Drosophila melanogaster: one gene and its partners. The protein of the gene in region 3 interacts with the protein of the main gene of each other region in a pairwise test. Each region holds a gene or a part of one and is shown on either strand. Other genes may lie near its edges. The genes, in order: mmd, TwdlB, Neos and sov.

What was found.
Region 1: the proteins of Neos (region 3) and mmd interact in a two-hybrid assay, tested with the Drosophila melanogaster proteins (one large-scale study listed by BioGRID).
Region 2: the proteins of Neos (region 3) and TwdlB interact in a two-hybrid assay, tested with the Drosophila melanogaster proteins (one large-scale study listed by BioGRID).
Region 4: the proteins of Neos (region 3) and sov interact in a two-hybrid assay, tested with the Drosophila melanogaster proteins (one large-scale study listed by BioGRID).

The regions. Positions count from the first base shown.
Region 1 is NC_004354.4:15,967,792-15,976,557, forward strand, and holds the start of mmd (mind-meld), read right to left. Parts: upstream 5,277-8,766; 5' UTR 4,414-5,276; intron 1-4,413. Other genes in the region: Or13a (odorant receptor 13a), read left to right, coding at 6,634-6,986, 7,270-7,701, 8,254-8,353, 8,415-8,522, 8,581-8,766.
Region 2 is NT_033777.3:26,620,330-26,627,658, reverse strand, and holds TwdlB (TweedleB), read left to right. Parts: upstream 1-4,115; 5' UTR 4,116-4,162; coding exon 4,163-4,177; intron 4,178-4,245; coding exon 4,246-5,091; 3' UTR 5,092-5,208; downstream 5,209-7,329. Other genes in the region: TwdlO (TweedleO), read left to right, coding at 962-1,651; TwdlL (TweedleL), read left to right, coding at 2,057-2,071, 2,136-2,978; TwdlP (TweedleP), read left to right, coding at 6,335-6,997.
Region 3 is NT_037436.4:7,237,337-7,244,929, reverse strand, and holds Neos (neosin), read right to left. Parts: upstream 3,303-7,593; 5' UTR 3,056-3,302; coding exon 2,634-3,055; intron 2,571-2,633; coding exon 1,877-2,570; 3' UTR 1,791-1,876; downstream 1-1,790. Other genes in the region: mei-P22 (meiotic P22), read right to left, coding at 1-542; mRpL50 (mitochondrial ribosomal protein L50), read left to right, coding at 1,041-1,070, 1,127-1,236, 1,296-1,725; RpL18 (ribosomal protein L18), read left to right, coding at 3,702-3,704, 3,989-4,075, 4,153-4,629; BHD (Birt-Hogg-Dube), read right to left, coding at 4,766-4,886, 4,945-5,047, 5,137-6,295; CG14829 (uncharacterized protein), read left to right, coding at 6,831-7,348, 7,415-7,556.
Region 4 is NC_004354.4:6,754,460-6,763,246, reverse strand, and holds the start of sov (small ovary), read right to left. Parts: upstream 6,926-8,787; 5' UTR 6,547-6,925; intron 4,638-6,546; exon of another isoform or gene 3,756-4,637; intron 3,511-3,755; exon of another isoform or gene 3,353-3,510; intron 3,260-3,352; 5' UTR 3,228-3,259; coding exon 3,037-3,227; intron 2,971-3,036; coding exon 2,901-2,970; intron 2,834-2,900; coding exon 1-2,833. Other genes in the region: CG14439 (uncharacterized protein), read right to left, coding at 7,804-8,075, 8,136-8,787.

The DNA of each region.
Region 1 (8,766 bases), on a different chromosome or scaffold from region 3:
GAAACTGTGCATTAGGGGATTGCCCAAGCGAAACTAATGAGAAGCCACGTTGGCACTAAGGTGAATGTGAATGTGGGTGTTGATGTGGGTGTGGATTCGAATGCGAATGTGGATGTGGATGTGAGTGTGAATGTGAATGTTCAATGCGGAATGTTGGATGCTAAATGCTGAATGTTGGGCACCGGACAGTGAAGAGCGTTCCGAGGCCACAGCCCACAATTTTAATTTGCGCTAATTAGGCAAGGACAGACATTTAGCGGTGACAGAGAAATGGTAGAAAGCAGATTCAATTAGCTGAAAAATCCTATTAAATAATTAATATTCATTAGGTAAGAAAGACGATTGCGAATGCGATTGTTAATGGTAATGCAGATTCGAATGTCGCCGAGTAGTTGCAACAATCGAATTAAGAATCAATTAAAAAAAATTCAAACAAGATTCCAAAAAGCAACACTAATTTCGAATATTTCTCAACTGTTTTTTTATCGGCTTCGCCCGCTTTGGATGCCTTAACCTTCTTGAAGTAGTCACATGAAAAAAAAGAACTGATGTTGCACCTTATATGGTTTATTTAATCACACCGATGGATTTATCCGAAAATTCACTCGTCCGTCCAGAATTCAGCAATCGTATGCACCGAAAGATAATCAGAGACTAAAAAGCAGAACCGAACATAATTTATAGGATCAAAGGGGAAAATTGGAAGCTGCGCTGCTGACGCCAGTTATTGCATACACTGAGCGAAACTCGAAGCTAGAATCGCTCTCAAAAATATATAATTTGTGACAATTTCTCTTAAATGTAGTTTACACTTAGCTTCAAATGATATTCGAGTAATGTTTTTGTTTTGTATCATACGTTTTTCTAAGTGTAGTCAGCTAATTTGTTTAAGTGTTCGTTCGTGCAAATTAAATGTTTGCTTTTACTGCAATTACTGTGATTTCTCTTTTGCCCCAGCAAGCAATCAGTTTCAAATTACTTGTTTCAAACATAAGCTTATGCAATCCAGGGATATTGAAATTGTGCTCGACTTCAATAAAACGTAATATAAATAGTATCTTATTGGCAATAATATTATATATGATAAGTTTTTTTTTTTTTTTTTGACTTTGCCTGTTTCCAAAATATCAAATGCGTATACATATACGTGAAAATTCCGACTAAAATTTAATTAAGCGCTTAGTTGCGGCGGCTGCAGAATCAACAGGTTCTGCACAATTTCCAAAGGCTTAGCAATAATTTATTGAATTTTCCCTTATATGGAGGGCATCCTGAAATTTGGGTCATTTCGGCGAAAAGGCAGTGAGTAAATTTATTGCCGCAAAAGGAGGCGACAGTGGCCCACATGGAAAATTACAAGGAGTAAAAGGACTAACGAAAAGGATAACAACGAGAATGGTTTCAATTTATAAAACAACAACTGAGAAGTAACTTATTTTCAAAGTTTTGTCATAACATTTAATTGCATTAAAAAGATGAATGCATATCACAATTTGCGTATGGCAAGCGAGAGTGTTTGAATTATCTAAGAAATTTCAGCTAAATCCAATTATATACTTTTAAAAATGTAATAAACAAGCAACTTCGACCAATAGAAAGCTGTATCCAAACAAAGTTTATTCACCAGCCAATGACATTATTAGTGCAAATGATTTTATGTCATTCGTTTAAAAACCGGTCAAAAGTGCTAAGCTAATATGGCATAAATAATATATGCAAGTATTGTATAAACATGGTAATTTATATTTGTAGCAGAAAAAATGGTATGCTTTACATATAAATATTTTAACTTAACTATTTATACTTTTAGAAGTTTTAGAAACCTTCATAAGTTAAGTTTAAACCAACAGACATAGTATAGTATAATAATTGCGCACAATTGTAGCATACTTTTAGACAGTTCTTCGTGTGCTTTAATAACTCTGATGATATATTACAAATATATGGACCATTTTTCAGAAACACACCACCCAAGCAATTCCCAAGCATAAGGAACTTGAAGAGTTGAGAATGCACATTTTAAATACATTGTGGCATACTTTTGGGCACCTTGATGAGTACTTCTCCAGGCCAAGTGGCTGGTCGCATACATATGACAACATCTTACCAACAAACACAACTCAAGTCGCATAATTTAAAGCCCCAAGATGAGATGAGCCCCCATGATGATGATGAAGGGGCGATGAAGATGAAGATGAGTAGATGAGCTGAGGTCCCTAACTACTGGTGTATCCTGTTAATCTATTCTCCGGATGGCCACATATTTCCCTCGCTGTCGTGGGCGTCCACGGCCGAAACGGACTCAGAATCAGTCTCAGATTCAGTCTCAGATTCAGTCTCAGATTCAGATTCAAATTCAGAAACAGAATGCGAAACAGAAACCTTGGGCAGACACACCAGACAGCGGCAGCTGACAGGAAAATAAATAAATAAAGGGATGAAAATTAAGGACGCGAGAGTCGTGGTCGTCGGCTGGCTGGCTGACTGGCTGGCTGGCTGGCTCTCCAAAGACCGAATGCGCAGCCTCCGACTAGACGGCATTCCAAAGATGGGAACTGCAGACATGTGTGCGGATGTGGATCTGTGGGCCAATAAAATGAGTTATTCCTCTTGCCAGCCACACAATTTTTTGTCTGCTGACTAATGATTGCACTCATTGTGCAACTTTGCCAATTAAAACTTGATTAAAACTATTCCCGATCAAATGGAGTAACAACAGCACGGAAAGCTGAAGCTCCATCGTATAGTGTTTCCCAATTTATTCGTTTTGACAAAACTTTCATTATTATGTTTCTCAAAAAGTTGGCTCACTCCATGATACCGACAAGTTTTTTTGGCAGTATCTGACTCACTAGCATTGGGCAGCATTTTGTAGTTTTACACACGCAGAAAAGATTTACTCATACAAAGCCGCGTTTTGTAAATGATTTCAACTGTTGTGAATTCTGAATATCCTGACTATTTATTGAACAGGCAACAAGTCAAGCCTTGATTGATTATATCAAATCGTAGGTCATGGCTTCTAATCTGGTGCAGAGCCATAAGTTTGCCACTCGAAGAAAAATTCAAGGATTCCGGAAACTAATCAAATACCAAATGTTTGTTAACAGGATATGAAAAAATAATGTTTTCCCTAGCATAACCAGTTTTAAAAGATTTTTTTCAGTCCGTTAAATGTATGCAAAGAAAACTGTATTGTATTCAAACCATTCATCTTTAGTTTCCCTCACAAGTTCATTCCTTTTTCTTCGTGTGTATAGCAGCATTGTTATTTGACCTAATCTGTGTCTTTGCCCCATTGTTTTGCCGCGTTTTGATTTGTGCCCCCAATAAGTCCATCTGGAGTCAATGTGCTACCAAACGATAGGGAAGTTCGAGCTTCGAAGGATGCGTGGTGGTAGGTAGGGCGATCTAATCGCGGAGCTCTTCTCCTTTATGGATCAGCAAACATTTGGGCGTTGTCACACTCGCGAATGCGGAATTCCGACACCATTTCTTTGATTGATAAACAAATTGCCCGCTGCTTGTTTACTTTACTGCCAGCGCAGATTTCTCACGAGTTAACCAACCATTAAACGAGAACTCACAAACTCAAGGACTCAGCAGGGGGAATCATCCTGGAATCACTTTGCCATCATCTCAAATCCGGTTACGTGTTTCGTTTGGCTGGCATGGGATTATGCGGTGGATTTAATTGTTTAAAAACAATCGAAAGCACTGGGGCACGTTGAGATTTGAATTGCCGTGCACAACTGCGGGTGGTTAGATGGGTCAATGGCAACGCATGCCCAGACCCCCAAATAATTGTGAACAAATGTGTCTTCAGTTGGCGTTGGTGGAGGAGCGCACCATTGCAAGCGACGCTGAAAAAGGCGATGATGTCCTGACACACTTCGAATTGCCAGAGTCCTTTTGCCAAAAAAAAAAAAAAAAAAAAAATTCCAAATTCCTTCGCATGCCAATGGAGCGGCATGGACAGAGAAGGGATGACGAGATGGAGAGACGGTGAGACGTCGAGATGGAGAGAGGATATCCAGATATGCATTGGAATACAAAGTGTGGGATAAAAGCATTTCTGTATCGCTATTATTCATTGGTCATGCGCAGTCAGCCGCGCCTCATTTCCGCTCGAGAGTCGGGAGTTGGACCATATTCGCAATAATAGTAAGTATGTTGGGCATGTGGTGTGTGTTTTGGACCAAGTATACATTTTCCCCTCCCCCGTATAATTACGGCCATAAAGCAATCCAACTATCCAGCTAGCCAAACTATTTCAGTTCCATCTGCCAGAGTTTGGAATCCTTGAGGCCATGTACATATACCGAAATATACTATATATATATATATATATGCATGGGATGTGTAGCGATTTTTGATAGATATAAAATACATAAACGTAATTGCGGTACTCACCAATGGAAATTCGGGAAATTCGAAAAAAATCAAAACCAGAATCCATTGAAACAGTAGTTGGAGAGTAGTTATGAATTATTTGTTATCCGTTTTGCGTTTAAGTTTGCTTTTAAGTTTACATTGTACTGCTTTATGAACACACTCAGTTTGTTATTTTGGCCAAACAGTAAAAAAAATATGCAAAAAATTTTCATAAAATATGTATTTTATGATCTTTTCATCCTTACGCCATCAGCATATACATATACACGCATATATGTGCACATATATAGACATATATATATATTTATTCTATTTTTGTATTTTCCATATTTGATTTGAATGTGCTGATTTAGTAGCCGATTTTAGAGCTGCGTTGCGTTGCGTTTCGTTACGTTACTATATCAAACATTTGATTCTGAGTAGTTATTTGTTGGGTTTTCACATTTTGCCCACCCGTTCGGCATTTCGTTTTTCCTCTTTTCTTTTACTTTTTTCCATATATATATATATATACATATATATATACGCGTATGTATATATATATATTCTAAGTTCACGGTGTGTTGGGATTTGAAAACGAATTTCTTTGTTAATATATATATATATATATATATATATGTATATACTTTTGCCTGGGCTGGTTGTTCAGTTGTGTTTCTGGGGTATTTGTTGGATCTTTTTGGGCGCCGACTCGGGGATTATTCCTCAATAAACTATTGCTCCGCTGGCTGCGAACTATACGGCTATTTCCTGCATCTGCACTCTTTTCTGCTGCTTTCGTATTTCGTTTTGTTTGTTTGTTTGTTTTTTTTTTTTTTTGGTTTTTGTATGTTTTTTGTGTTTTTTGTATTAATTTATTTTATTTTTTTATTGCTGCTGCTGCTTCTTCTATTAAAAACTATCGCCGTGTCTCGTGCCTCGCTAACCGCTTTCCGCAATTGCAAACAACGTTCTAAAGCTCTCGAACACGTCTGCAGGATTTTGGCCAGGCGAAAAACGATTGCCTCCAACCGGAGGCAAACCAGGCAGCCAACCCAGTCGACCAGCCATTCTTCAGTCAGCCAAATACGACGCAGTCGCAGAGCACCGGAATCTCAACTGGGAGATTCCCAATCCCGGCCATCCCATCCCATACCAATATATCTCAAACCAAGCCCAGCCGAGTGGCCACATCTCTCGCTCTCCGCTTCTATTGTCACGTCACAATTCAGCATCTTGGCTCTCTCGGGCTGTGTGGGCCACATCCTTTTGGTCCTCGGATGGATGTTGGTTGGTGTTCGGCACTCAGCCGCTGGCTCTCTCGCCGAAAGTCGGTAAAAAAAAAATCCACTCCTTGGCCCCAACGAGTCTTACAATCCGGGTACGTCTGTTTATGTCCGTTATGTGGAGCAAAAGGGTATATTGTATTCGTGCAAAGGTGCGTAATTGTAAAAGGAAGTGTAGTATACACCTACGCCTCTACATACGTTTCCATCTAGCCGTGTCTGTCTGTCTCTCTGTATCTCTGTCTGGCTGCCTGTCTATCTGGCCGTCGAGATCTTGGCCAGAACAATGGACAGAGAACTGGGTCCACACTGTTCCACGCCACAGATTGGCCACGCCCCCGTCGTCTAATTGAATGAAGCTATATCCTTCTTACGCCCAGCTAGCAGTGACCTGATTTAAATTAACTGGTTTCGAAATGAAGTTTGGGCGAATGAAAGCCTAAAAATAAATACAGACCGCATTGTTAGCCAACATACATAAATGGAAAATCATGGAAAATTACAATGAAATAATATGTATAAGAAATTGAAAAAAAAATATATATATATCTAAAAGTGTTACGGATTTCAGGCGCAGGTTGCATGTTTATACTTTTAGTTTTGCTTTTTAATTTGAATATATTAAATTGAAAACAAAATTGAAATATGTGCACCTGTTTACCTGTTTATTTTTCGAGAGCAAAACGCACTTTGTTCTTCAAAATAAAGCAAAATTAAAATACACACAAGTAGTATAGTTTAATGGATTTCACAGGCACACACCTCCTTGGAAAATGCGTTTGATCAAAATTTCATATTCGGCACTTAATGAGGTGGTAAGTATATGCCTTGTGTGCAAACGCTTTCTAAAATATTTACTGTGCAATTAGGGTAAATGATTAAAAAAGTGGTAATTTTAGGGCGCAGTTGGTAAGCTATAAATGAAAGAAATGCCTTAAGATGTACCTAGTGCTGTGGCATTTATCAGATAGTCATGTTCTATTCGTATCCCTACAAAGCACTTAGCTTTCCCATTCAGTGCGTTTGGCTGAAACTGAATGGTTCTTGGCCATTAACCGAATCATCGAGGCCATGGAGGAGCCAATCCTTATTGGCCACCGCCTACATCGTGTGGGCGTGGTACGTCATTGCATCTGTGGGCATAACAATCAGCTATCAGACGGCCTTTTTGCTGAACAACCTTTCGGACATTATTATCACCACGGAAAATTGTTGCACCACCTTTATGGGTGTCCTGAACTTTGTCCGACTCATCCATCTTCGCCTCAATCAGAGGAAATTCCGCCAGCTTATTGAGAACTTTTCCTACGAAATTTGGATACCTAAGTGAGTCGATTCATTAGGGTTATTATAAGCGATGTTAAATGATCATCGCATTAAACTGCAGAGCATTGAAAACTATAGAGGTTTGCAATCTTACTTGAGTAAATGCGCAGAAAAGTGTGCTACATTGTTGTGTGCAAAAGAGCAAACTTTGCTTTCTAAGCATGCTTTTGGACACTTAAAGTGGTTTTGAGATAATATAGACTTTTGAGTAACTATACCCATCTTCAAACTGTATTTGTAAGAAAATCTTTATTTACATATATAAATATATGATGGGTTCCAGTTCTTCCAAAAACAATGTTGCCGCCGAGTGTCGCAGACGCATGGTTACCTTCAGCATAATGACATCCTTGCTAGCGTGCCTGATCATAATGTATTGTGTCCTGCCGCTGGTGGAGATCTTCTTTGGACCCGCCTTCGATGCACAGAACAAGCCGTTTCCCTACAAGATGATCTTTCCGTACGATGCCCAGAGCAGTTGGATCCGATATGTGATGACCTACATCTTCACCTCCTACGCGGGAATCTGTGTGGTCACCACCTTGTTTGCAGAGGACACCATTCTTGGCTTCTTCATAACCTACACTTGTGGCCAATTTCATTTGCTACACCAACGAATCGCAGGTTTATTTGCGGGTTCCAATGCGGAATTGGCCGAGAGCATTCAGCTGGAGCGACTCAAACGTATTGTGGAAAAACACAACAATATTATCAGGTTGGTATCGTGCCAATATTCAATTACAATGATTCTATTACAATGATCCTATTACAATGATTCTATTACAATGATTCTATTACAACGATTATATTACAAATATTCTATCACAACGATACTATTACAATGATTCTATTACAATGATTCTATTACAACGATACTGTTACAATGATTCTTTTACAACGATTCTATTACAATGATTCTATTACAATAATTCTATTACAACGATTTTATTACAATAATTCTATTACAACGATTTTATTACAATGATTCATTTCAATGATTCTTTTACAACGATTTTATTACAATGATTCTATTACAATGATTCATTACAATGATTCTATTACAACGATTCTATTACAATGATTCTATTACAACGATTTTATTACAATGATTCATTTCAATGATTCTATTACAACGATTTTATTACAATGATTTTATTACAATGATTTTATTACAACGATTCTATTACAACGATTCTATTACAATGATTCTATTACAACGACTCTATTACAATGATTCCATTACATGTTACTTTGATTTTGCCAATAGTTTTGCTAAGCGCCTCGAGGACTTTTTCAACCCAATTCTACTGGCCAATCTAATGATTTCCTCCGTACTTATTTGCATGGTTGGCTTTCAAATAGTTACTGTAAGCATTGGCAGTAAATATTTTAATATAATGACTAGCTTTTCTTTCTAAACTTCATAAGGGAAAAAATATGTTCATTGGAGACTATGTGAAGTTCATAATTTACATATCCTCGGCCCTTTCACAATTATACGTTCTTTGCGAGAATGGCGACGCATTGATAAAACAGGCAAGAATGTAGATTGTTTTTTTTTTTAATATATTAATAAACTATTTCCGATAAACAGTCTACCTTAACAGCGCAAATTCTGTATGAATGCCAGTGGGAAGGATCCGATCGCATTGAGATACAATCGTTCACGCCAACAACCAAGCGAATCCGAAACCAGATTTGGTTTATGATCCTCTGCAGTCAACAGCCTGTAAGGATTACGGCTTTCAAGTTCTCAACGTTGTCCTTGCAGAGTTTTACG
Region 2 (7,329 bases), on a different chromosome or scaffold from region 3:
ACACATCAGTTGAACTCCAACTGAAGAAAATTTATAGTTTTCAAAAATAAGGAAAATAAAATTTAACGTTAAAACCCTTCACTTTCATTCGCTTAGCTTAAGATGACAAAACACTATCAAACGATTATTTTGTATGGATTACAGAAAAGTATCAGCAGAACTTTTGATGATGATATCCTTCTATCCAAACACAGCATTTTTCATATTGTTTGATTGCTTGTACGTTCTTCTTCTCCGTTTAAATGAGATTTTAAACTGACTGGACGCAAATATTCTGGCTCTTATATACGGGACTTGTATGGAATTCCCAGACTATTTAAAACAGGTTTGCCCAGAGTTCAAAGCAAGCTTCCGACATTCTTTTTGACTTTGAACCTCAAACTAAAAAGTCACTTCAAATTCTAGACCCACTTTCGATAGCAAAAAAGGCGACAAACAGAAAGCAACAACAAACCATTAACTATCAATGGAGTTCGCATAGATTAAGATTTTATCGTTTCGTAGGCGGAACTCAAAGAATGCATCACATTGTGTTCGACTTTAATGACCATCAGAACATTTTTGGACGGGCTCTGACTTTTTTTTTGGAAACGGGTTTGATAGTTTTGCAGCATTTTCCCCAATCGAATTCCGGGCAGTTTTGCCCCGGTCAAGAATAAATCGCGGCGCCATGAACCGGTCGAGAATTTGGCTTTTGCAATTGGGCAGAAAGTCGGGGGTCGCCGACTGGATGTATTGGCGAGAATTTTAGGATAGTTTGCATAATCATTTCATAAGCGCACCGCTTTGCATAAAAAACTAGTTGAGTTATGTAGCAACCCGACGGGAATGGTGTCGGTTATAGTTCTAAGTCGGTTCTAACTACGCCAGATGGGTATATAAGCTGCTCACCTCAGTCTCAGGATTCAGTCTTGGCCTTTGCCTGTTAAGCACACCCAGCCTACAAAACCAAACCTTCACCATGCGTTTCCTCATCGCTTTCTGCCTGATTGGTGCCGCATGCGCCCAGTACAACTACGGAGCGGGATTTACCGGAGCCGCCTCCGATAATGTTCCCAGTTACTCCGGAAGCAGTGTTGGCGACTCCTACGATGGTGCTGCCAGCAGCCCGGACTACTCGGTCTCCAGCGAACTGAACAAGGAGTACTACACCTTCGAGGCTGACGAGAGCCAGTTCGAGGATCCTCTGGCCGCCCAGAAGATCGCCGGCTCCGTGAACAAGGGACTCCGCGTGGTCTTCATCAAGGGACCCGAAAACCGTGGCCTGGAGAACGCTGCTCTGGCCCTCGCCAAGCAGGCTGCCGAGCAGAGGACCGCCATCTATGTCTTGAACAAGCAGACCGACATTGGAGATCTGGCCCAGAAATTCAATGCCGCCCGCCAGAACTCCAACCAGCGTCCTGAGGTGCACTTCGTCAAGTACAGGACTCCCGAGGATGCGGCCAATGCCCAGCGTGCCATCCAGTCGCAGTACGATAACCTGGGAGGATCCAGCCAGTCCATCAACGGAGGAGTTGCCAACGCCATCAACTTCGCCTCCGCTGCCCCCGTGGTTCCCGCTCGTCGTGGCCCCAACTACTCCCCACCAGCCGCCGCCACGAGCAACTCCTACCTGCCCGCCAACATCCTGCGTCGCCTGCGCATCCGTTAAGGACCGAACGAAAACCGACAGTTGTTAAATGTGTTGTATAAATGTAATTGAATAAAAAACGAAAATCGATAAAAACAAATACGCTTAGATTTATATATCTATTTTTAATCTAGATCTTCGAAGTTTCTGACTTTGTCATCGGCCATTGCAATTTGTTTGTTTTTTAATAGCTTTTCCTTATAATAACATTTATGCAAAGCTGAATTGCTCTGCGAGCCCGAACAAAAGCCGTTCGCTGCCTACTTTGTAGGCGGACAAAACATTTAGCAGCATCAGCGCTTTGTCTTCGAAAAACTGCGCCGCCAGCTTCGAAGTTGGGTTAGTATATATAGTTACCGCCGCCGTGGTCATAGGCAGAAGCAATTTGTGCTCCGAACCAAGAGAACCTCAAACCCAAAACTAAAGATGCGCGCCTTCATCGTAAGTGGTGTAGCCAGGACTTAAGACGAATTCACAACTAACGGATAACCCTTGAATCCTGTAGGTAATGTGCCTGGTGGCAGTCGCCTGCGCCGATAAGCTCGGCTACAACTACCAGCCCGTGGGACACTCCAGCTCCGGACTGTCCTTTGCTCCTGGAAGTGGCAGCATTGGAGGTGGATCCATTGGAGGTGGTTCGATTGGAGGAGGCTCCATTGGAGGAGGATCCATTGGAGGAGGCCTCATTGGTGGTGGCTCTATCGGAGGCGGTTCCATTGGAGGTGGTTCCCTTGGTGGTTCCATCGGTGGTGGCTCTATTGATTCCGGTCTTGGCGGTCTTGGTGGACTCGGTGGTCTAGGAGGTGGCGACGCTCTGGCCGCTCCAGTCTCCTACAACGCCCCCGCTCCCGCTGCTGAGCTCCAGAAGGAGTTCTTCACCTACTCCGCCAACGAGCAGGACTTCGATGAGCCACAAGAACTGGAGCGTGTTGCTGGATCCGTAAACAAGGGACTGCGCGTTGTCTTCATCAAGGGACCCGAGAACCGTGGTCTGGAGAACGCTGCCCTAGCCCTCGCCAAGCAGGCTGCCCAGCAGGAGACCGCCATCTATGTCCTGAACAAGCAGGCCGATATTGGAGATCTTGCCCAGAAACTGAACGCCATCCGCAACAACAATAACAACAAGCCCGAGGTGCACTTCGTCAAGTACCGCACTCCCGAGGATGCTGCCAACGCCCAGCGCGCCATCCAGTCGCAGTACGACCAATTGGGAGGATCCTCTCAGGCCCACAACGGTGGTGTGGCACCCGCCCTGAACTTCGCCTCCGCTGGTCCCGTCCAGAAGGCTAATGCTCAGATCCCTGAGAACGCTTACCTGCCCACTTCCATCTTCCGTCGTCGTTTGTAAATATTTTAACGACTTCGAGATGAAGGCGTTGACTGTTCTTGTTAAATCTTATTGTTGAAATCTATTGATAAATAATATACAAAAATCTGAATACAAACATTCTATGATATTTTATATTGGATGGTGGTGTAGTAAACAATAGTGTATACCTTCCGATGACAACATGAGTGGAGTTACAAGTTGGGCTTTTAGAAAATTATTTCAGTCTTTGGTGAGATTTTTCGACCTGTTTTTATTGCACAAAAAGTTTGGTAATGACTTTTAATTTGAATTTATTCTTAAAAAGGTGCAACGCTATTAACTTAATACAAAGCAAAAGACCTTTAAAACTCATTAAGAATTTGGTAAGCTATATTACCCAAGGCAGCTTCCCGATGACCTTGACGTTTAATATTTGTCATAACCAAAATATTATCCTACGAAGTACTGGGAAAAGAATAAAATAAAATATTTCCGCATATTTTAAATGTAGGCAAAATGTTTTTACGACAAAAAAGTTAAATTAAATATAAACATATCGTTTTCACCACTCTCAAGTTAAATTTTTTATTTCATTAGTAATATATGCGAAAATAAAGAATCAATGAACTGGGGGCGGCATTTCAAACATCTCATTAGACGACTTGCTAAATTTAGCGCTTGCATCATGTCCATAAATCAGAACTAAACAGATGTGTCGAAAACGATTATAATGACTAAACGATTGTCATTCAGTCGGAAAAACCAAGTGCAGATGTCCTACATAAAACAAGCTTTTAGCCTTGCCGAAGAATTTGTCAAAAAAATGTATTTTATATAATACTCGTACCTAATTATGACCCATCTGCATGTTAAACTCATTCCGACGTGCTCGCGACATATTAATTTTATAATTCAATATGAATTCTTGTAAACTATTGGACGAAACTCGAAATATTTGAATAACCCACGACGGCCAGACTCTGCCCATTGAAACGCAACCAAAAAATTCCACACCGAACATTAAAAAAAACAGAGGAAGCAAAAACCTTTGTAGGCGGCAAAACACAGTGGCTTCAAAGAAATCTCCGTGCAGCAGACGCCGCGGCGGTATCTTTGTCTTTATCAGCCTCCAAGATGGATTTGTATAAATAATAAAGATCGCTCCTAGCCAGAGACACAAGCAACTCATACCTCAAAGCAAAAGAACCAGCAATCTGCTTAAGATGCGCGCATTCATTGTAAGTAGCGCGGTTAAGGATTCAAAGGATTATACGCCAGGATAACACTTCTCTTTTCATGCCTCCAGGTCCTGTGTTTGGTGGCAGTCACCTGCGCCGATAAGCTCGGCTACAACTACCAGCCCGTTGGCCACTCCAGCTCCGGACTGTCCTTCGCTCCTGGCAGCGGCTCTATCAGTGGTGGATCTATTGGAGGAGGCTCCATCGGAGGAGGTTCTATTGGAGGAGGCTCTATTGGAGGAGGCCTCATTGGTGGTGGCTCTATCGGAGGAGGAAGCATCGGAGGTGGATCCCTTGGTGGTTCCATCGGTGGTGGCTCCATCGATTCCGGTCTTGGCGGTCTTGGTGGACTCGGTGGTCTAGGAGGTGGCGACGCTCTGGCCGCTCCAGTCTCCTACAACGCCCCCGCTCCCGCTGCTGAGCTCCAGAAGGAATTCTTCACCTACTCCGCCAACGAGCAGGACTTCGATGAGCCACAAGAACTGGAGCGTGTTGCTGGATCCGTAAACAAGGGACTGCGCGTTGTCTTCATCAAGGGACCCGAGAACCGTGGTCTGGAGAACGCTGCCCTGGCCCTCGCCAAGCAGGCTGCCCAGCAGGAGACCGCCATCTATGTCCTGAACAAGCAGGCTGATATTGGAGATCTTGCCCAGAAACTGAACGCCATCCGCAACAACAACAACAACAAGCCCGAGGTGCACTTCGTCAAGTACCGCACTCCCGAGGATGCTGCCAACGCCCAGCGCGCCATCCAGGGTCAGTACGACCAGCTGGGAGGATCCTCTCAGGCTCATGATGGTGGTGTTGCACCCGCCCTGAACTTCGCCTCCGCTGGACCCGTCCAGAAGGCTAACGCCCAGATCCCCGACAACGCCTACCTGCCCACTTCTGTGTTCCGTCGTCTGCGTTTCTAGGAAGGCTACATCTTGGACTCCATTAACTTAAGCAAATCTCGACTGAAGAACTCATTCTTCCTGTTACACGTTGTTGACTAATGCATAATTACACCAATAAATTTGAAATTTAAATACGAAAATTTAAACAAAGGTCTACCTTATGTGTTTTATAGAGTGAGATTTTTATTGCGGCTTGGCCATAGTAGCTAATGGTGCATTAAGTCCGCCTTGTTTGGCTTGATTGTTTGCGGATGGGTTAAGTATAAAAAGTGCCCTTCAAACTATAAATATCTCGAATTGACGACATCAAGATCAGGAAAGGCAGTTCGGAGCAGGTTTCCTTTATGAGTTTAAGCCCTCGTCGAATCATATTCACCTAGACTTTCCATACAAATCAATGGACTAATTATCTGACATAGCCAACTCGCATGCCGCCAAATTAATTGACTACAAGATTAGATCCACCCACTTGGCCAGCGGGAAGCATTAATACCGGACTCCCGGCCAACGAGGAACTGGTTCTTTCCCGACGACAGCTCAAGGTCGCGAAGATGCCAACAACTGTTAGATGACCTGGTTTCCGAGGCCCGTCGTGTGTCACGTACAATTAGAAAGGAATCTCAAGTGCAACCCACATACGAAGGCAATGAAGATTTATGCCCAATCGAAACCTGATTAGCCATAAAAACAAAGTCTAATCATTAATTTTATTAAGCTGACGATCACTTTTTTGTTGAAATCATTAACAAATAAGCGGTTCTGTATACATATTCAAGCAAATATAACAAAACAATCCGATTGAAACAGCCAAGAGATCGGTTATTTTTCTTTTATTTGTGCATAAATTATAAGCCAATTATGGGTGAATCACGATAGTTCGGAAAACGACTGGACTCGCAATCGGATCTTAGCTCGGACTCGGACTTCGATTCGGAATCTCATCTCAGTCGGCGGCACGATTGAAGCTGTCTTTTGCCCACAACAATGTGTTAAATGTGTTAAGAGCGAAATTATGTTAGCAGATTAACAGCATTCCGAAAACCCGATGGCCAATAGCCACTGGCCATTCGCGAGTCACGATTCGTGAGCGGAGATCGATGATCGCCGTGTTCCGCCAGAGGGACCCCAAAGTGACTAGACGGCTCAATTGACTAGATTTTCTAGTCTAATTTTAAACGTCGTCGCGTTGGCGGTATAAAAGGTAGATAATGAATGCTATATTATTCATTCGTCTAGAATATCTCGTAGGCATCGGGTCAATATGCGTGCCCTCATTATTCTAAGCATTGTGGCAGCGGCAAGTGCCGGTAGCTTGTCCGGATATAATTACGGACAAGGTGCGACAACCAGTATTGGGGGCAGTGGTGTATCCCCAGTCCCTGCACTGGCGGGACCAGTTAGCTATAGTGCCGCTCCCCAGGCGTCAGTTCACAAGGAGTTCTACAGCTTCTATGCCAACGATGACGACTTCGAGGATAAGGCTGCTCTCCAGAGGGCTCTTGCCTCGGTCAAGAAGAACATTCGCGTCATCTTCATCAAGTCGCCGGAGAACCGTGGCTACGAGAATGCCGTTTTGGCCCTGGCTAAACAGGCGGCCCAGCAGCAGACTGCCATATATGTGCTGCACAAACAGACTGATATCAACGAGCTGGCCCAGAAATTCAATGCCGTGCGCCAGAATGCCAACAAGAAGCCCGAGGTGCACTTCGTCAAGTACAGGACACCTGAGGATGCTGCCAATGCCCAGCGGGCAATCCAATCGCAGTACGATCAACTCGGCGGCTCCAGCCAGTCCATCAACGGTGGCGTGGCTAATGCCATCAACTTTGCATCCCAGGGAGCTGCTCCAGCACGCGTTACTCCTCAACAGGTGCCCCAGAGCAACTACCTACCCGCCAACATCCTGAGTCGCCTGCGTCACTAGAAAATCGATTGTTAAACGTTGTTTTCGAATAAAAGTTATCTAATTTGGTTATGTAAATTATTGTATTTTCATTTGGTTAATTCCTTTAAAAATTGACGAAAGCAACATAAGTATGCAACAGTTTTCAAAATAAATTGTATACCTATTTATAGCAGCGATAATCGAATAAAAACAGAAAGAAAGAAGAAAGAAGAAATAAAAATACTTGTTCAAAACCCAAGATCTCAGCAGCCATAAACTGGTATTAAATTTTGAATATGGTTAAAGTATAAACTAGTTCCTAAGAAATATATAAGTGCTTCTACTTATGTGCGCTTTCAAAGTTTGCAAGA
Region 3 (7,593 bases):
GGCGATGGTGTGCTTCCTAGCTGATCGGTGGAAATTCTTGACTGCAGTTTCTTAGCCGGTTGCTTTGGTTTTCGACCACGTTTTTTGGGAGTGCATTGAATGCTTCTCCTTTGTGAATTCCTTTGATGAACTTCTTTCTGAATATTATTCTTCTTCTTTACGGTCTTTTCAACTTCATCTAAACTTTTGAGGTGGATAATCTTATATGGAGGCTTCAGGTGAACGATTCTATTGGAAGTTTTCAAGGGGACAACTTTATCCCGGGATCCAAGATGGACTAGATTATCCGAGGATCTCACGGGCACCAACTTAGCTGCAGGCTTCAGGTGAACCACTTTCCCTTGCTGCAACAATAGTTCACTGTAATCATCTTCAGTGTTTCCAAATAACTGAGGAGAAAGACTTTTGGGCGGAATCTTCTGCAGATCCCGGTTTTCCTTGTCGATGAGGCGCTGTGATCGCCGCAATGGGGAGTGCTGGGAGCCACCCATAAAGGAGCAGTAGGTGGAGGCCGGACTCGGGACAACTGTTGTCCTGTCCATACTGTTTTATACTACATAAAGAACACCAATGTAGTTTAAAACTATTATTCAATGCAAAATTATAAAAAAATAACAGTTGGCGCGATAGCAGGACTTATCAATTGAATAACAGGACCTTATTATCGACAAAAGCTTAGAGCTGCCACGCAATTTAATAAAGTTATCGTTCGTAAAGTTATGTCGAATTTAGATTTAAATTGAAATTGATGAGGTAATATATTTTTAAAATAAAATCCTATCACTTATTGTTGCTTAAACTAAAATTTGTTTCAAGAAAGACTATTATGAGATAGATCTTCGACTAAAAATAACTCAATACTCATAATGTTTTCATTTTTTTTAAGTTTGTTTATAAATTTAACAGTGGGTAAACAGTGAGTCCACCTGGCAACGCTCAATGCAGTATTTTTGTGTTACCATCTCCTTACCTGTAAGTATAGTGAATATATTTTCAGTATTGACTGCCATGCCGCATTGTTTTCAATCTGGTCACATCCAATGGCAGCGATTTTACGTAAAACCCTAATTGTAAGTAAAAAATAATAAAAATGTTCACTTAAAATCCAATGCCACCATGAATTTAGCTTGCGGGAAGCCTGCATAGGAGTTTTGCCTCCGCCGCCAAGGCCGCAAAAGCAAAGCCCGTCAAAACCAGCACCATTTCAGCTGTCGGCGAGTCCATCGCCGCCAAGGGGTAAGCACTTTCTTTAATTTATTTACATAAAAACCAAGTAAATATTCTCCTGATTGTAGCTTCTTGCGTCCCCATAAGCCGTACTCCCCACCTGCAGATGCCGCCGAACGTATTCGAACCGTAGCCGCCTCGCTTCAACTGAAATCCGACCAGTTGGGGAATCTCTCCGAGAAATTCGAATTCCTGAACGCGTGCTTCCAGGAGCTGCAGCACGGAGTGCCCAACTCCCAGGTACATGAACTGCGCACCGTCAGCGATGTTATCGCTTTCTACCAAACAGCTGTGGACACCACCGTGCCGTTTGATGCACTGAAGCGCATCGAGCTGCCGGAGAATTTGCACATCCAGTACGAGTACGTGCGATTCCATCCCGAGACAGATACCAAATTCGACGGCAAAACGGCTTTCCCCAAGAGCTCCACCCTAGTCACCGGTCTCAAGTACCGTGGAAAGTACGAGGGACACGAAGCCAAGCGATCCTGGCCTTAGAAACAGCCAATTGTTAGTTGTTAATGTCTTACACTTATTAAATGCATTCTGGAAGCCCGAGATTTACGTCATATATATTAGGTATTACATTTATTAAATGTTAAATATGCTTAATGGCTAAAATTAATGAATACTACTAAGTATTGGTAGTCTATAAATACTCGGCTAAAATCTGTCTGAGATCCGAGTTGTAAACACTTTCCAGGGCCGCCAACACTCGATCGTCAGCAAGTAGCTCCATTAGCCTTCTGTCCTCCTTGACTGCCTCGAAAGTGGGATACATGAGCTCGCTGGTGACATCGGTTACTGCCGGCTTGTTCATGATGCTAAGAATCTTCTTCTGCAGCTCGATCTCTGGATCGGGAGCTTTTAGCTTGGCCAGAGCATTGGCCTCGCCCACCTCTCGCTTCAGTTGCTCCTCGCGTTCGCCTTCGAGGTACTTAAGAATCACCTCGTACTGCGACGCGGTCAATGGATGATTGTCTGCCAGCCTTTCCAGCAGCCCCTGCATTTCCTGGGGATGTCGTCGCTGTCCCTTGTGTATGGATGTTGACGGCGGTAAGACGACAGCGTCGCGCTGTTTTTTGAGCCTAAAATCGGTGGAGATCAGGGTGATGGCGTCCTCCAGCGGCATGTTGCGATGCTCAGCGGGTACGCCATACAAAATGTTTACTGTGATGCTGTTGTGTTCCTCGTGCTGCGGCGTGACCAATACCGCATACAAGCAGCCGCGCGAAGAGATGTTGGCCAGGACCTTGCCTAGCAAGACGTCCTCGTTGGGAAAGAGTACATCCACGCGCAGACTGGAATTCTTTAGCCGCTCCTCAATGTATTCTGCGTATTTGCTGCAGGTAATGAAAGCCATGAGTATCGTCTGGAGTTATAAGGTATTGGGGATCATAACTTACGTATTCTCGCGATTTTGGACTATGATCTCGCAATCATTGATGAGGGGTTGACCTGCTGCCGCTGCCGCCGCTGACATCACAAGTCCACCCTGAACTGTCACCTGGCCTCCTTGATTTGAATTTCTTTTGGCGATAGCATTGGCCGCCTTCGATTTAATGCTGGCGTTGCGTACGGTGAGCATGTTTTGCTTAAAAGTGGACTTGTGCAGGGCGGAGGCGGCTTTATTGGCCAGCTCCTCCGTTTCAAACTGCACGAATCCGTAGTTCTTCTGGACCATCGAACCGAGCACTTTGCCATATGGCTGGCAAATGCTCACCAGCTCCTCGCGCGTGCAAACCGGCAGGTTGCCCAAGAAGATTCGACTCTTTGCCAGGGCCGGATCCTTGGTTATGTTGTAGCCGGCGCTTCCTGGATCAGACATAGATATTTGAAGCTTTCTACTGCACACAAACCCGAAACTGAAGATTCTAGTGTGACCCGACGAGGCAATGCAAAAATACACACCGCTGAATAGTTATTATTCAGAATTGGCATCAGTTTTAATAAAAAAAAAGGGTCGCTTGATTTCCGAACCTTCTTGCATTAACTTGCTTATTAGAAATTCAATTTACAAAAATGCCATGTAAAAAATCAGATACTATTAATATTTTGTTGTACCCCCCTAATATTAAAAAAAAATCCTATGGTCATACTAATGATGTTATTAGCGGCGTTGCCACACTTGTATATCAAGCAAATAAGAGCTTTCACATATAATTTTGTTTTAATTTGATTTAGAGGTTTGGAAGTTTTACCCACAGTATTATTAATGCTAGAAATTTTGTTTATAAACTTAGGATATCGCTTAGAAAATAAATGAAGCTTGCGCCTTAACAGCACGCTGTTATCATAACAGCACAATTGGATATTTTAGCGTCTTGCTTGTGATCGGTGCAGCCACACTATTTTCTTTCTTTTGGCTTTCGTTTCCGGCGAGGTACGTGCAAGAAATTGATGCTCCACGTTTTTAGCTTAAATTAATGTCCAATTCTCTATTTTAGCGTTGATTAATACATTCAACAGAAGAAATGGTGGGTTACCGATAAAAGTGCGGCAATGATTCCAGCAGGAAACTGACAAATAACCTAAAACGCCAACTGTGGCTCAGCCCACGTGCATTGCGAAGCTTCCTGGCGACGGAATGAAATAAAAACAAATTTGTGTGGGCGGCATCTAGTTTGTGAAGCTAAAATACCATGAAATAAGCAGTTTAACTGATCGGTTCCATGGATATGTAGTAAACATACGCTCGAATGCCGACCAATTGTTTTTCCGATCATAAACACCAGTTCTAATACGTGTGTTTCGTTTGCAGGGTATTGATATCAACCACAAGTACGATCGCAAGGTTCGCAGAACCGAGCCCAAATCCCAGGATGTGTACCTGCGCCTGCTGGTCAAGGTGAGGCTTTCGATGGCGTTGACTACCAGCTGAATGTGGAGATTAATCTGTTTTTTTTTCTTTGTTTGCCCCCGCAGCTGTACCGCTTCCTTCAGCGCCGCACCAACAAGAAGTTCAACCGCATCATCCTGAAGCGTTTGTTCATGAGCAAGATCAACAGGCCGCCGCTATCGCTTCAGCGCATCGCTCGCTTCTTCAAGGCCGCCAACCAGCCGGAGTCTACCATCGTGGTCGTCGGCACCGTCACCGACGATGCCCGCCTCCTGGTGGTGCCCAAGCTCACCGTGTGCGCCCTGCACGTCACGCAGACCGCCAGGGAGCGCATCCTGAAGGCCGGCGGTGAGGTCCTGACCTTCGATCAACTGGCTCTCCGATCGCCCACCGGCAAGAACACGCTGCTGCTGCAGGGCAGGCGTACCGCCCGCACCGCCTGCAAGCACTTCGGCAAGGCTCCCGGTGTGCCCCACTCGCACACCCGCCCCTATGTCCGCTCTAAGGGACGCAAGTTCGAGCGTGCTCGTGGTCGTCGCTCCAGCTGCGGCTACAAGAAGTAAGCGACTGGCTGACTGGACTGGATTCGGCATCCTTTTGGTTAAGATAATGATTTTTCTCGCCATCGCACGGCAATAAAAGAGTTTTATTCCAAAAGGTGAAAAAGAAAGTCCTTAATCTGTGCGGTAATCGGTTGTACTAGTGAAGGTGTGTGCTCCAGTAGTTAATAATCGGCTGATCGTGCGGCTGCACGCCAAGCACCTTCTTAAGTTTGCCCTGCACGCTGGTGGATTTGGCATGGTTGAGGCAGGTCACTTTGCTGTAGATGGAATTCAATTGAGTTCGGATCTGTGCAGCAAAATAGGACGGCTACTCACTTTTTCCACTCTTCGATGAGCACCTTGGTCTGCTTGTTCAGCACGAGTTCTGTGAAGTTTTTCTCCTCCACCGCCTTTAAAAGTTTCACCATAAGATCTGGCACTAAAGTGGGAGAATCAATAGAATCAATATCAATATCCCCGACTCGTTTTTATCAGTGAAAGCGGGAACGGATTGGATGTGAAGCTTACATTTTCGTGGCAGCTCTCCTGGCCATTTGACCGACACCTCGTGTCCGTTGACGTGTTTGTCCAGAAAATCGATCCGATAAACGGAGCTACTGGCCATTGGCACGGCTATGTCATTGGACACGGATATGATTTTGTACTCGGAGCTGATGGAGTGTTGATGTTGGGCATCGATTCGCATTAGATTGTGCATGGGCTCGGGCAGGAGTTTCTTCAGGCAGACCATGAAACGGAAGGTCTTTCTGGGATCACCTCTGACCACAATCTTCACCCCAGTCAAGGCACAATAGCAGACCGTGGCAAACTCCTCCTTGCGGACGACACTCTTGAGATGGCGCAACGAGAAGAACTCCTCCAGATCGGGATCGTCGATGCTCTCTATCATTGGCAGTGTGGAACTGTTGTAGGTGAGTCGCTGTGCGGGAGGACGGCCACTACTTTGTGGCGGTAGCCACGGTAGGTTGCCGAAGGTCACGTGCTCGGTGAGGAAGCGGGATCCGGCTAGCAGGAGCCACGAGAAGTGTGAGTGCAACTGGGCGAAGATGTGCTCCTCGCCTGTTAGCTCCAGCAAGGCACGGGAAGTGGGCATCAGGAACTGAGCGCCGGACAGACGCCTCTGTCGCTCTGAGTACGTCTGCTCCTCCGTCTCCTTGGTCTTTTTGGCAGCTGCCTGCAGCTCCGACGACACCTTCTTCAGGTGCTCCGCCAGAAAGGGCTTGATGTTAAGCAGGAAATACTTGTCCTTCATCAGCACAATGATGGAGAACAGCTGCGAGTAGCCGCGGGCCTGCAGGTCGCTCACTCGGAAGGTGTGACTCAGGATGTGACCCCTGGACGAATCGCCAAAGAACACGAACTCGCCATCCTTGCTGGCATCCGTACCATTGCTCAGACTGAGCACCGCCGCCTGCTTGACCAGACTGGCCACCTCCGGCAGCACCGCCACCTTGGTGCTGACGAATGTGGCCCCGCTTTCCGTGTCCCTGCTGTAGATCGCATTGTTATTCTTGCCCATGGAGTAATTGCAGGCGGAGCAGGTCTTTTGCGTCTGCTGTTCCAGTGACAGGTCCTCCAGCTTGGTGTCCCTCAGTGTCTGGGTGCAGAAGATGGCGCAGGGACCGTGCGCCTCGCAAAAGTGGCACAGCGCTATCACGGCGTTCATCGCTGCTCTACAGTTTCCTTTATATCCTTGGTTATGTTATTGTTTATTTTGTTAGTTAATAATACTAGAGTGACCAGTTGCGTACATTCACTGAAATACCAGAAATGGCGGTAAGAACATAGAAAACATTGCAGGGATTTCTTAAGCGATATTTTAAATTTTGCGGGAATATACATTTTATTCTTGTTTTGTATATGTAAAATATAAATACTAAACTATAAATCAATGTGCTATGACGACATAATATTAAATAAATACACATGACAATAAATTCCTTATGTTAATAGAAGTTCAAATTAAGAAAGAATTTTTGAATTGTGTTTTTAAGATATGTAGAAATGTATCTGTAATTATTTACCCAATTAATTATGCAGAACGAAAATGTAAAGCAGATCTGGATGTCTTTATAACCCAATTTGGATGCTAATTGCTTGAGTCCATAATGCTTTAATTTTCAGCATCACAAATGGGTATCGATTCCAGTGAGTTTCATTCTCGAAAGTTATTGTGCCACCTACAGACGTTTTTCCACACAATGCAACTGGTTTCTTGGATATATTTATTGGCCTGTTCATTACCTGTGGTTAGGAGTGCGTATATGTTAGTAGCTGCTCCAGTTGGCCAAAATATTACGGAGTATATGCATGCGCGCCAGAAGAGGCATCAGTTGATCTACCGGAATGGAGGAACCATCCGTTTGGTAGTGGGTCCCGTGCTGTCCACTCAGCTCGAGGATCCCGTGGTCTGGCGCAGTTTGGTCTACTACTATGTGCTGCATTTCGGGGCATTTACCCTGCCATCGGCACCACTATATCCCTGGGACAAATGGGAGACGATATATGCGCGTTCGTTGCAGGAGAAGATCAGGAGCTTGGATGAGACGCACGAGGACGACACTCGCCTGTTCGTATATGCCGCCTTGGAGAACTATATGGACCAAGTGAGTGGATCTCCTGGTCGAGGTCGTCACTGTTTGCTGCGAGGGATCTGTGAAAATGCGCAGGTGCATCACCATGTGGGCATCATGGCGGAGCTACTAGTCGTTCTACTCACGTAAGTTGCAGTTTTAGAATGCTATTACTTGAATGGAAGAATTATAAATCTATATAAACTTAATAGACCTGGTAAAACGCGCTTGGATGTGGCCTACAAGGAGGCTTTAGCAGCTGGCCAGGCTGGAATCGATTGCCTAGCTCGCTATTCGGATTGTCCAAGGGGTGAAAGTGTGCTGGATGCATATGCTCTGGATGTGGAGTATTGAAAAGGGTTTTTTTTTAAACTGATGTTACGACTTGAAT
Region 4 (8,787 bases), on a different chromosome or scaffold from region 3:
GAACCACTTGTGTTGTATGGGCAATGGGAGTAAGGACAATTTTTATCTTGGAGATTTTTGGCGGCTTATCCTTCTCTTCAGTACTCTTTTTATGCTCAGTACCTTCCTCCTCCTCAGTACTCTCTTTCTGCTCAGTAATCTCCTCCTCCTCAGCACTCTGGCTTTCTTCTGTAACCTTCATCTCGACATCAGCGAATTTAGTTACTTTCATGGATTTAATCTTGTCGATGGTATCATCCTCCGATTTTTCCTTGTCAGGCTTTGCCTCCCACTTTGCGCAGTTCTTTTTAGTCGGATTTTCCAACTTGTCCTCAACATCATCATCTGCCCGTCGCTTTAGTGCAGGGTTTCCAGTAGACGAAATGGGAGTCTTTATTCTAGTTCCGGACATTCTACGGTTTTTGGCAAGGATGTCCAACTCTTCACTCACTGACTGGTCCTGTTGACTGTCCTGAGTGCTGGTAGCTAGCTCTGGAACTGGAGACGCGTTAGTCTCGCTAAGAGGCGGTTCATTTTCCACATTGTCTGTATTTTCCGAGCTTTCCTCACTGACCACGCTATTCGAGTCCACAATCTCGAGGGGGTTCTCAACCTTTGATTTCTTTTCAGGCTCCCTGTTCAGTCTCTTCTTCTCCTTTTTGTCGGACTTGTTCTCCTTGTCATTTGCCTTCTTATCCTGCGATTTTTCAAGCTTCTCAGACTTATCCAGATTGTTCTCCGACACCTCATTGCCCTTATCTACCTTGTCTTTAGCCTTAGCCTTATTTAAATACCTATCTTTATTCTTATAAGTATCTTTGTCCTGGTTGGCATCACAGCTTTTGCTTGTGGGGGAATTTGAGGGGCAGCTTGGATTCTCCCCATTACCATTGACTGGACTTGTTGAGGTTATTGTTGTTGCCGGTGGGAGGGTTTTCTTCGGTATTCGAAAGTCTAGCTTCTTGTTTAGCACCCCCAGATTAACGTTGCGGTAGGAGGTGTCCAATTCCGGAACCTGAGTCACTGCGATCGTCGACTTCTCCGCCTCGCTCTCCTCCGGCTTTTCCTTTTGCTGTTTATTTTTTTCTTGGGCTTCCATCTCCCGCGAAACTTCCGTTTCTAATTGGCGTACCTCCGCCGCAGCCTTAGCCTTGGCCTCCGCCGCAGCCTTAGCCTTGGCCTCCGCCTCAGCCTTAGCCTTGGCCTCCGCCTCAGCACGGGCCTTGGCTTTGCGGTGTTCCCCATATGTGCGTGGCACGTCATTGTGTCGTCCAAAGCCCCGTTTGTTGTGACCGCCGCGAAATCCGCCCCTGAAACTATGCGAACCATTAAAACCACCAGCATATTCATTCCCGTTTTGATTGCTAGGAAAGGGCGGTCTTGGGTTTGGACCGTTTCCATATGGATTGCCACTCCAGTTCGCAATGTATGCACTTCCATTGGCGGTAACATTCTGATTCTGATTATGATTATTATTATTTTTACTATTAGTTTGCCCTCTATTGGCTGACTCTTCGAAACCGCTGTAAGTGCTTATAGAACGACGCGGGTCACTGGAATACGGAGGAATTTGTGCCTGTGGCGCCTGCTGATGTTGCTGCTGTTGGGAAGTCTTGCTCTTCCAGATACGAGGGTCTCGGGGTTCTCGGGAATCAGTGCCATAGAAGGACCTTGGTTCATGTGCCAAAGCATCCCCAAAGGCTCGAGAATCTCCCGGAGGTACCGAGTTGCGCTGCACAGCATGCTGGCCTGTAAATGCGCTTTCCTGGGGAACATTTGAAAATGAGGCCCACGTACCGGCCTTCATCCTTGGTGGCGGCGGAATAGGCGAGGGAGTCCGCATAGGCGGCGGGGATTGCAGCGCTATACCCAAGTCGTTGTCTTTATTGTTGTTAGTTTCAGGCAGGTTTATTCCTTTTCTACCGCGTGGATCATTTATATTGGAGGCCAGTGGAGGCATGCTTGGTACCGTTGTTCCTAGTCCATATTTCAAGGCCGCCAGCTTCTTGCGGGCCTCCTCAAGCGTATTTGCTGGACTTGCAGTGCTGGCACTGACCAAAGCTGGTAGACCCTGTACCGACAAGGATATGGGCAAGTCTTTTTTGGATTGCCCTGGGGAGGCCTCCTGTAGAGGAGCATGCTGCACAAGCGATGTGCTTCGTCGCTTAAAATCTGGGTTTTCTGCTCTTACCGATATTTCTGAAGAACGGCAGGTTGACTGTGACGATGTTGTATAAGATCGCCGCGAGAAGTTTGTCTCTAGCTGCGTTACACCGTTAGTTTCTTTATCAGTTTTCTGTTCGCTAGCTCGCTGCTTCTTCTCTTCAATTAAGGCCTTCTGCATGACAGCCAGAAATCCACGACTGCCACGAAGGGAGGAATGCTTAAGCGCCGCTGGTGATGTTGGTTCTGGAATGGTTGGTGTTTTCGTATCTTGAACTATAGCTTGAAGGGCGGCACGTGGTTCTGCAGGTGACCGCTGCCCCTCATCCGATGCCTTGGCGCTGGTAGTTTTTGGGATGTTCAAATCCATTGAAGTGGCTGGAAAAACTGAAATCTTGGCAGAAATGGAAGAAGTCTTTATTTTTGAAGTTGAGCAAGAGACTTTAGAGTTGCGCTCCAATTCTAGTTGCTTTGGTGTCGATAGATGGTCCTTGGTAGCATCTGATGCGGGGTTAAGTGAAGCATTTAACCTGCCAGCCAGAGATGAGCCGTTCAACAGGCCACCCTTATCTGAGGACTTCGCTCTTTGAGCTGGTGGTTGTGCGCTTGACCCGGAGGAACTCGACGCAGTGGAATCATACTCAGTGTTTTCAGTGATATCAATGATTTCGCCAGTGTCAATTTCGATCCTCTACAGACCGAAAATTAGGGTTAGAACGTGAAGATGTGGTCATAGCTGTGGCGCATACTCGACTTACCGGATTGAAGCGCGTCCTTAGCTTATCAATGATCACCTCGATCTTGTTAAGAGAGCTCATCGATACGTCCCTGAAACGAAGGAGTGGATATGATGGATAACCGAGTTTGGTGGGCGTCCCTTGGTCCATGACTTACTCGCGATCCAGCAGGTTAACCAGGGCATCCAGACGATGACCCTGAACCTTGGACAAAGTATCCTGGAAGTCTATTCGCACACGCCGGATAAAGGGCACAAACTTACGGATCTCCACCAGCTTGGCCTTTACCTTCTCCTTCATCGAGGTATCGCAGCTCACCACCACCACGTCGTCCTCGCTATCCTCCATTTTGCAGCAGGCACTGTTCGTATCCGACTCTTCTGAGGGTGTTTGGTGTTATTTATTACATTGGTTAACTATGCGGCATGGTTTCAATCTCAGCACTTCCTACACTTTCCGCTCACATCACTCACCGGACGAACACAACTAGTGCGCCATGAATATCCCTCAAAACTGCGACTTCTTATATAAGAATACGCAATGTATAAAATAAAACACATTTCCATTCATTTCTTGGAACTTAATTAACGTTTCTAAAGGAGGCAGCACAAAACGGCGTCGTCAAAGGAATGACAACAACATCTGTGGCGTCGAATCCGAGGCGGGTGGTTTCAATAACAATCGATAACTCCAAACGGAAATAAAATATCTTTATAGTACGTTGCGATGCAGCCCGATGCAGCCCGCAAATCAACTCCCATTACTAAAATCCCTAATTGTTTTTAAAACTAACAAACAACAAAACAAGTATCTCACAAATTTGCACAACGGACTATCGATAATTCTAAAGTGCCATCACTACTCGCGCACCCACTCAGTCGAAGTGAATTCGCCGCACGCGACAGTTGTGTGCGTTTGGCAGTGCCCAAGTGTCATTGTATTGGTGCGTAAGACGATCGATTTTTTCGCTGTTGTTATTGTTTTTGCAGACTAAACAATCTTTCGACGTTGCGATCGATAGCGTAAATAAAACAGCAAACATGAGACATAAGCACATTCCATACATACGCCGTCCACAAATCCCGTACCTACAGAACGAAGCAGATAGCACAATAATAATATAAACGGGAAGCGTCTACCTAGTTTTCTACGAAACGATGACCACACGCACACACACACACATTTAAACTTTCAGCGACTCGACTCTTGCGCATATCTAAAAGCCCAAGGAAGCCAAGAATTCTAAATCGACGTGGCAGTACGCGCTGATCGAGAGTACAGAACAGACCGCCTAGAAGAGCAACACTGAAACCATCCAACCCTATTATTGTTGATCATTAATCATATTTAACCCGCATTATCACAATATATCTGTATGGGATAATGGGATAATTAAACTTATGTACCGTTTCAGTTTGAACTCTTCCAACACACAAAACATATTTAGTAGGCGCCACTTCACAGTATTACGAACAATACTTCTAACACGACTCATGGTCTGGTTCGTCGATCGGCGAATACCAAACACTGTGTGCCATTTAAGTCTTGATACACCAGCTGATATAAACCAAGCCAATCGCGATCCTTATTATGACCTTGATTTTTAATATAAATCAATAGGGTTGGAGCACAGGAAGGTCTAGTACATAATCTGAAAATGTGTTCGCAACGACGGAAGCATGTTGTTCTTATCCTTGATAACTATTACTGTAGCACTATCATCATTTCTTTCATTTGAGGAATAAAATATCCATGTTTACTTTTGTGGTTTCATTGTAGTAGGTAGAGTACAAGGTCAAAGTACTCAGTCCACGCAAAACCAACAACAAATGGTAACCCTCGAGTAGCGATGGGATTTTTTCAGCAAAACGACTACATTCCTTTACGAATGAACCAATCGGTGTTCTTGTGGATAGAATACGGAACTTAGCTTGATTCTTTTATCTATCAGCTATCAAAGTCCATTTGCTATGCTTAAAACGTATAAGCATTTACTTTAAGCTTGATTTAAATAAGTATTTTATGCACATAGTGAGTAATCACTGCATTTATTTGTGCATTTACAGATATTATTAAAAAAAAAAGGTCAGAAGTGCCTTTCATTTTCCAAATCTGATACTCTCAAGTAGTTTTCTTTTTCCTAAAAATAAAGTATGTGGCAAGGTATCCATATTTTGTGACAAAGTAACTCTCGTTGCCTTTTACAAGTTCTAAAAATTATACAGATCATCCTTGCTATTCTATTTCTTTATTATATCCGTTACTTGAAGAGTAAAAGGGTACTAGATTCGTTGAAAAGTATGTAACAGGCAGATTGAAGCCTTTCCGACTATATAAAATATATATATTCTTAATCAGGATTAATAGCTGAGGTGATCTGGCCATTTCCGTATGTTCGTATGAACGTCGACATCTTAGAAACTATAAAAGCTAGTAGGTTGAGATTCAACATACAGATTCCAGAGACATGGACGGAGCGCAAGTTTGTTGACCCATGTTGCCACGTCCACTCTAACGCCCACAAACCGCAAAAAATTGCCCACGCTTTTGAACCTTTTTTTCGAAATTTGTTCATAATTTTATTAGACTTGTAAATTTCTATCGGTTTGGCAAACAACTTTTGGCCACGCCCACTCTAACGCCATAAAGCCGCCAATACGGTCACTTTGGGAAAATTTTTTCTCATTTTATTCCCCAATATCTTTCGATATCCCAGAAAAATGATGAAATTTCGCGTTCGCATTCACACTAGCTGAGTAACGGGTATCTGATAGTCGGGGATTTGACTACAGAATTCTCTCCTCCAACGATTTAGAAAAAGTGGGTCACTTTGTATTTTGGACTTTTGAAACATCGGTTTTTGGCGACACAAATGTAGCATTCAGCCTTTAGTGCGCTAGTGCGCACTACCAAACACACTATAATAACTATCACTGTATGCGTAGAAAAGAGCTGTTTGCTGTAGCGCTCTCCGCTCTCTCGCTCTCGAACAAAAAATCGAGAGAGCCTGGAGCCACCTCTAGAGCCATGGCGAAAAAATAGTGTGCCAAAAAATCGTATAGCGTTACGCATCTTGTCTTTGGCACTACCTTGACCGTTGGTATCGAATCATTGTGTCGCGTTTTCGTCATTAGAATGTGTTTCCTATCTCAGCTTTTTAGGTCGTTCATACGGACAGAAAAACGGACATAATAGTCATGGTTAAAATCCTATGTACTACATAAGGTCAGAAGAGTTTCCTTCCACCACAGTACTTAAAAAAAAAAGTTAGTAACGTTAGTAATGTGTGTATAAACATTTAAAGAAACGAAGTTATCATTACGCGATTAACTTAAATCCACTTTTCATAGTAGAGCTCGCAATACGCCATTATTGATTGTAAACGTCCTTTCCGCTCTCGTCCGAGAAATGATTTATGGAAGAATGTTTATATAAACGGCGGTTGGATTCTTCACACGATAAGTTCTGCGGAACACTTATGCAGACACACACACACAAACACAGTCGCAAAAGCTCGTCCACATAAGACGCAAACTCAAACGAACACAAAGACAAACAAGAGCACGACTTTTTTGCTGGCCTCTACAATTCGTTTTTGTTTTCGTCGTTGATGCACATTCCCGTTATTACAACTACCACTTGATTAGTAATATTCAACTGTACTCACTTTAGATTACTTTCCTCCGTTATTTCTGGAGTTTTGTGCGATGCTCAGCAATTTGGCCTTGTCTGCGGAGGTGTCGAAATACGAGCCGATCCGAACACTTCCAAAGTTGACGCCGAAGTGAGGGAACTATGCCCGTGTCTCACAATGCGCAATTGCCGGCGAATACGATAGACACGAATAGCAGAGCAAAATGCTCACTCTGCCAAGGCTACGTGTCTGCAATTCGCCGCGATGATTTTCGTCGTAAGTGAAAGTTGGGAAAAACTAGGGTTTTTCGTTTCGGGGAGAAAATTTTTCTTATTTTTTTGTAGATGTTACTCGAAGGAGCTGGCCATAAGGCATAGAAATGAAAGAAATTAAGCCACGTACTTTGATGTTGTTGTCATACATGCAACTATTTTATTAAGTTAGTTATCGATAGCTATCGATGGTTATGGACAAACAAAACTTTTTGGCTTAGATGCAACATGGTCATACTGAAGGAAACTGGTACGTTGCACTATGGGTAAAAAGCCGGAAATTTTGGTATTAATTACAATTTTAAAGATAGCATCTTGATTTTTTTTATATTTATAATTAGGATTTAAATAGAATTTCGGTTTAGAGTGAAAGTGAAAAATTTATTTATATACAAATGAAAGCTGTTTTAAAGGGAGATGGATGGGTGGCGAAGGATATGTGGGTGTTAATATGTCTGTGGTTCAACCGGTGGATCCGGAGGTGTCTTACCTGGGAGATTGGCGTGGCATATAAGGTTCGTATTTAACTGCTATTATTTGGTTTTTGGCAGTGTAGGAATATGGTCTAAGGTTTTTTATAGCCGCATCCAAATTTTGTTTTCCTTCAATATAAGGGCAGCACTATCCTTTGTTCAACTTTTTCTGCCAATTTCACAATTCAAAGCACCTCTGATTTAGCTGAAAGTGTCGCGAGTGTCGAACTCAATTTATGTTAACAAAACAGCACTTTATTAAAGTTGTACACTTGTAATCGCCTGGCGAATTAAGTACACAGTTATCGCGCTAAAAATACAGTGTTGCGGGAATCTCGGGGATCCATCGCTTAGGCCTATGATTGCTGGGTGCAAGGACACCTGCTCCGGATTCGGGCATATTTGTTAAGAACTGATATCTGATGTAAAGCAGATATCGAATTATCAGTTAGCCGAATTTGAAGCAGGTATCTTAACAACCTAACATAAAAATTGCATAATATTAATTAATAAAAAAAAAAAAACACTCCGGAGCTTAAGCTAATCTATAGTCTACTGCTCTCCGCGCCATTTTGTCGTGGCGGAGAAATCTGGGACTTGTCGTATCCATTGCTGGACATCTGCAGATGCTGCGGAAGTTGGGCAGGACGTCCGTTGGAGGGCAAGGTCTCGTCCACGGAGAACACGGAGTTGTCGTGTCCGTGCATGTGGCGAGCATTGAGCACGGCATCCGGATGGCTCTTCGGCGACTCCGGCTGTCCCACCTCATCAGGCTTGCCTTCCAGCAGGAAACAGGTGATGAAGAAGAGAATAGAACCTGTGACCAGAGGTGTTAGTAATATTGGTATCCAAAAGTGGCCAGATCAAGCCGACTTACTGATGCCGTAGAATCCAGCGTAGAAGATCATGATCGAACCGCGATAGCCCAGGATCTTGGCCACCGGATCCACCAGGATGGGCAGGTTGCCGCCAATGTTGTTCATCACAAACAGAAAGACGCCAATGGTCGAGGAGCGAACGCGCAGCGGAACAATCTCCACAACAATGGCAAAGACAATACCGAACCACATCTCGGCGAAGAAATAACTCAGGCCCAGCGTGATCATGGCCCACAGCGGGTCAAAGTAGACCGATCCGAAGGCTGGTAGTGTGGCAATTAGCTGGCTAACAGCCAATACAAAGGCGCGTGATCGAATGCCCATCTTGGCGACAATCTTGTCCGACACAATGCCACCGACGACCACACCCACGCTGCCAATGCCAATGGTGACCCCAAAGAGCCACCAGCCCAAGTCCACGTCGGGGAAGTACGTGTTGTAGTAGAGATCGGCGTTGTAGGCAAAGGTCATGCCACCGCAGTGACGGATGGACGCGGCAATCATCAACATGATCATTGCCGGATTCTTGATAACTTGCCACAGGCTCACTGGTTTGCCGCTAGACGTCTGGCGGTCACCCTCACCGATGGCCTTGCGCTCCGGCTCCCGCAAAGTGGTTCCGGTCAGTGCGGCCATAATTACGGTAAGGAC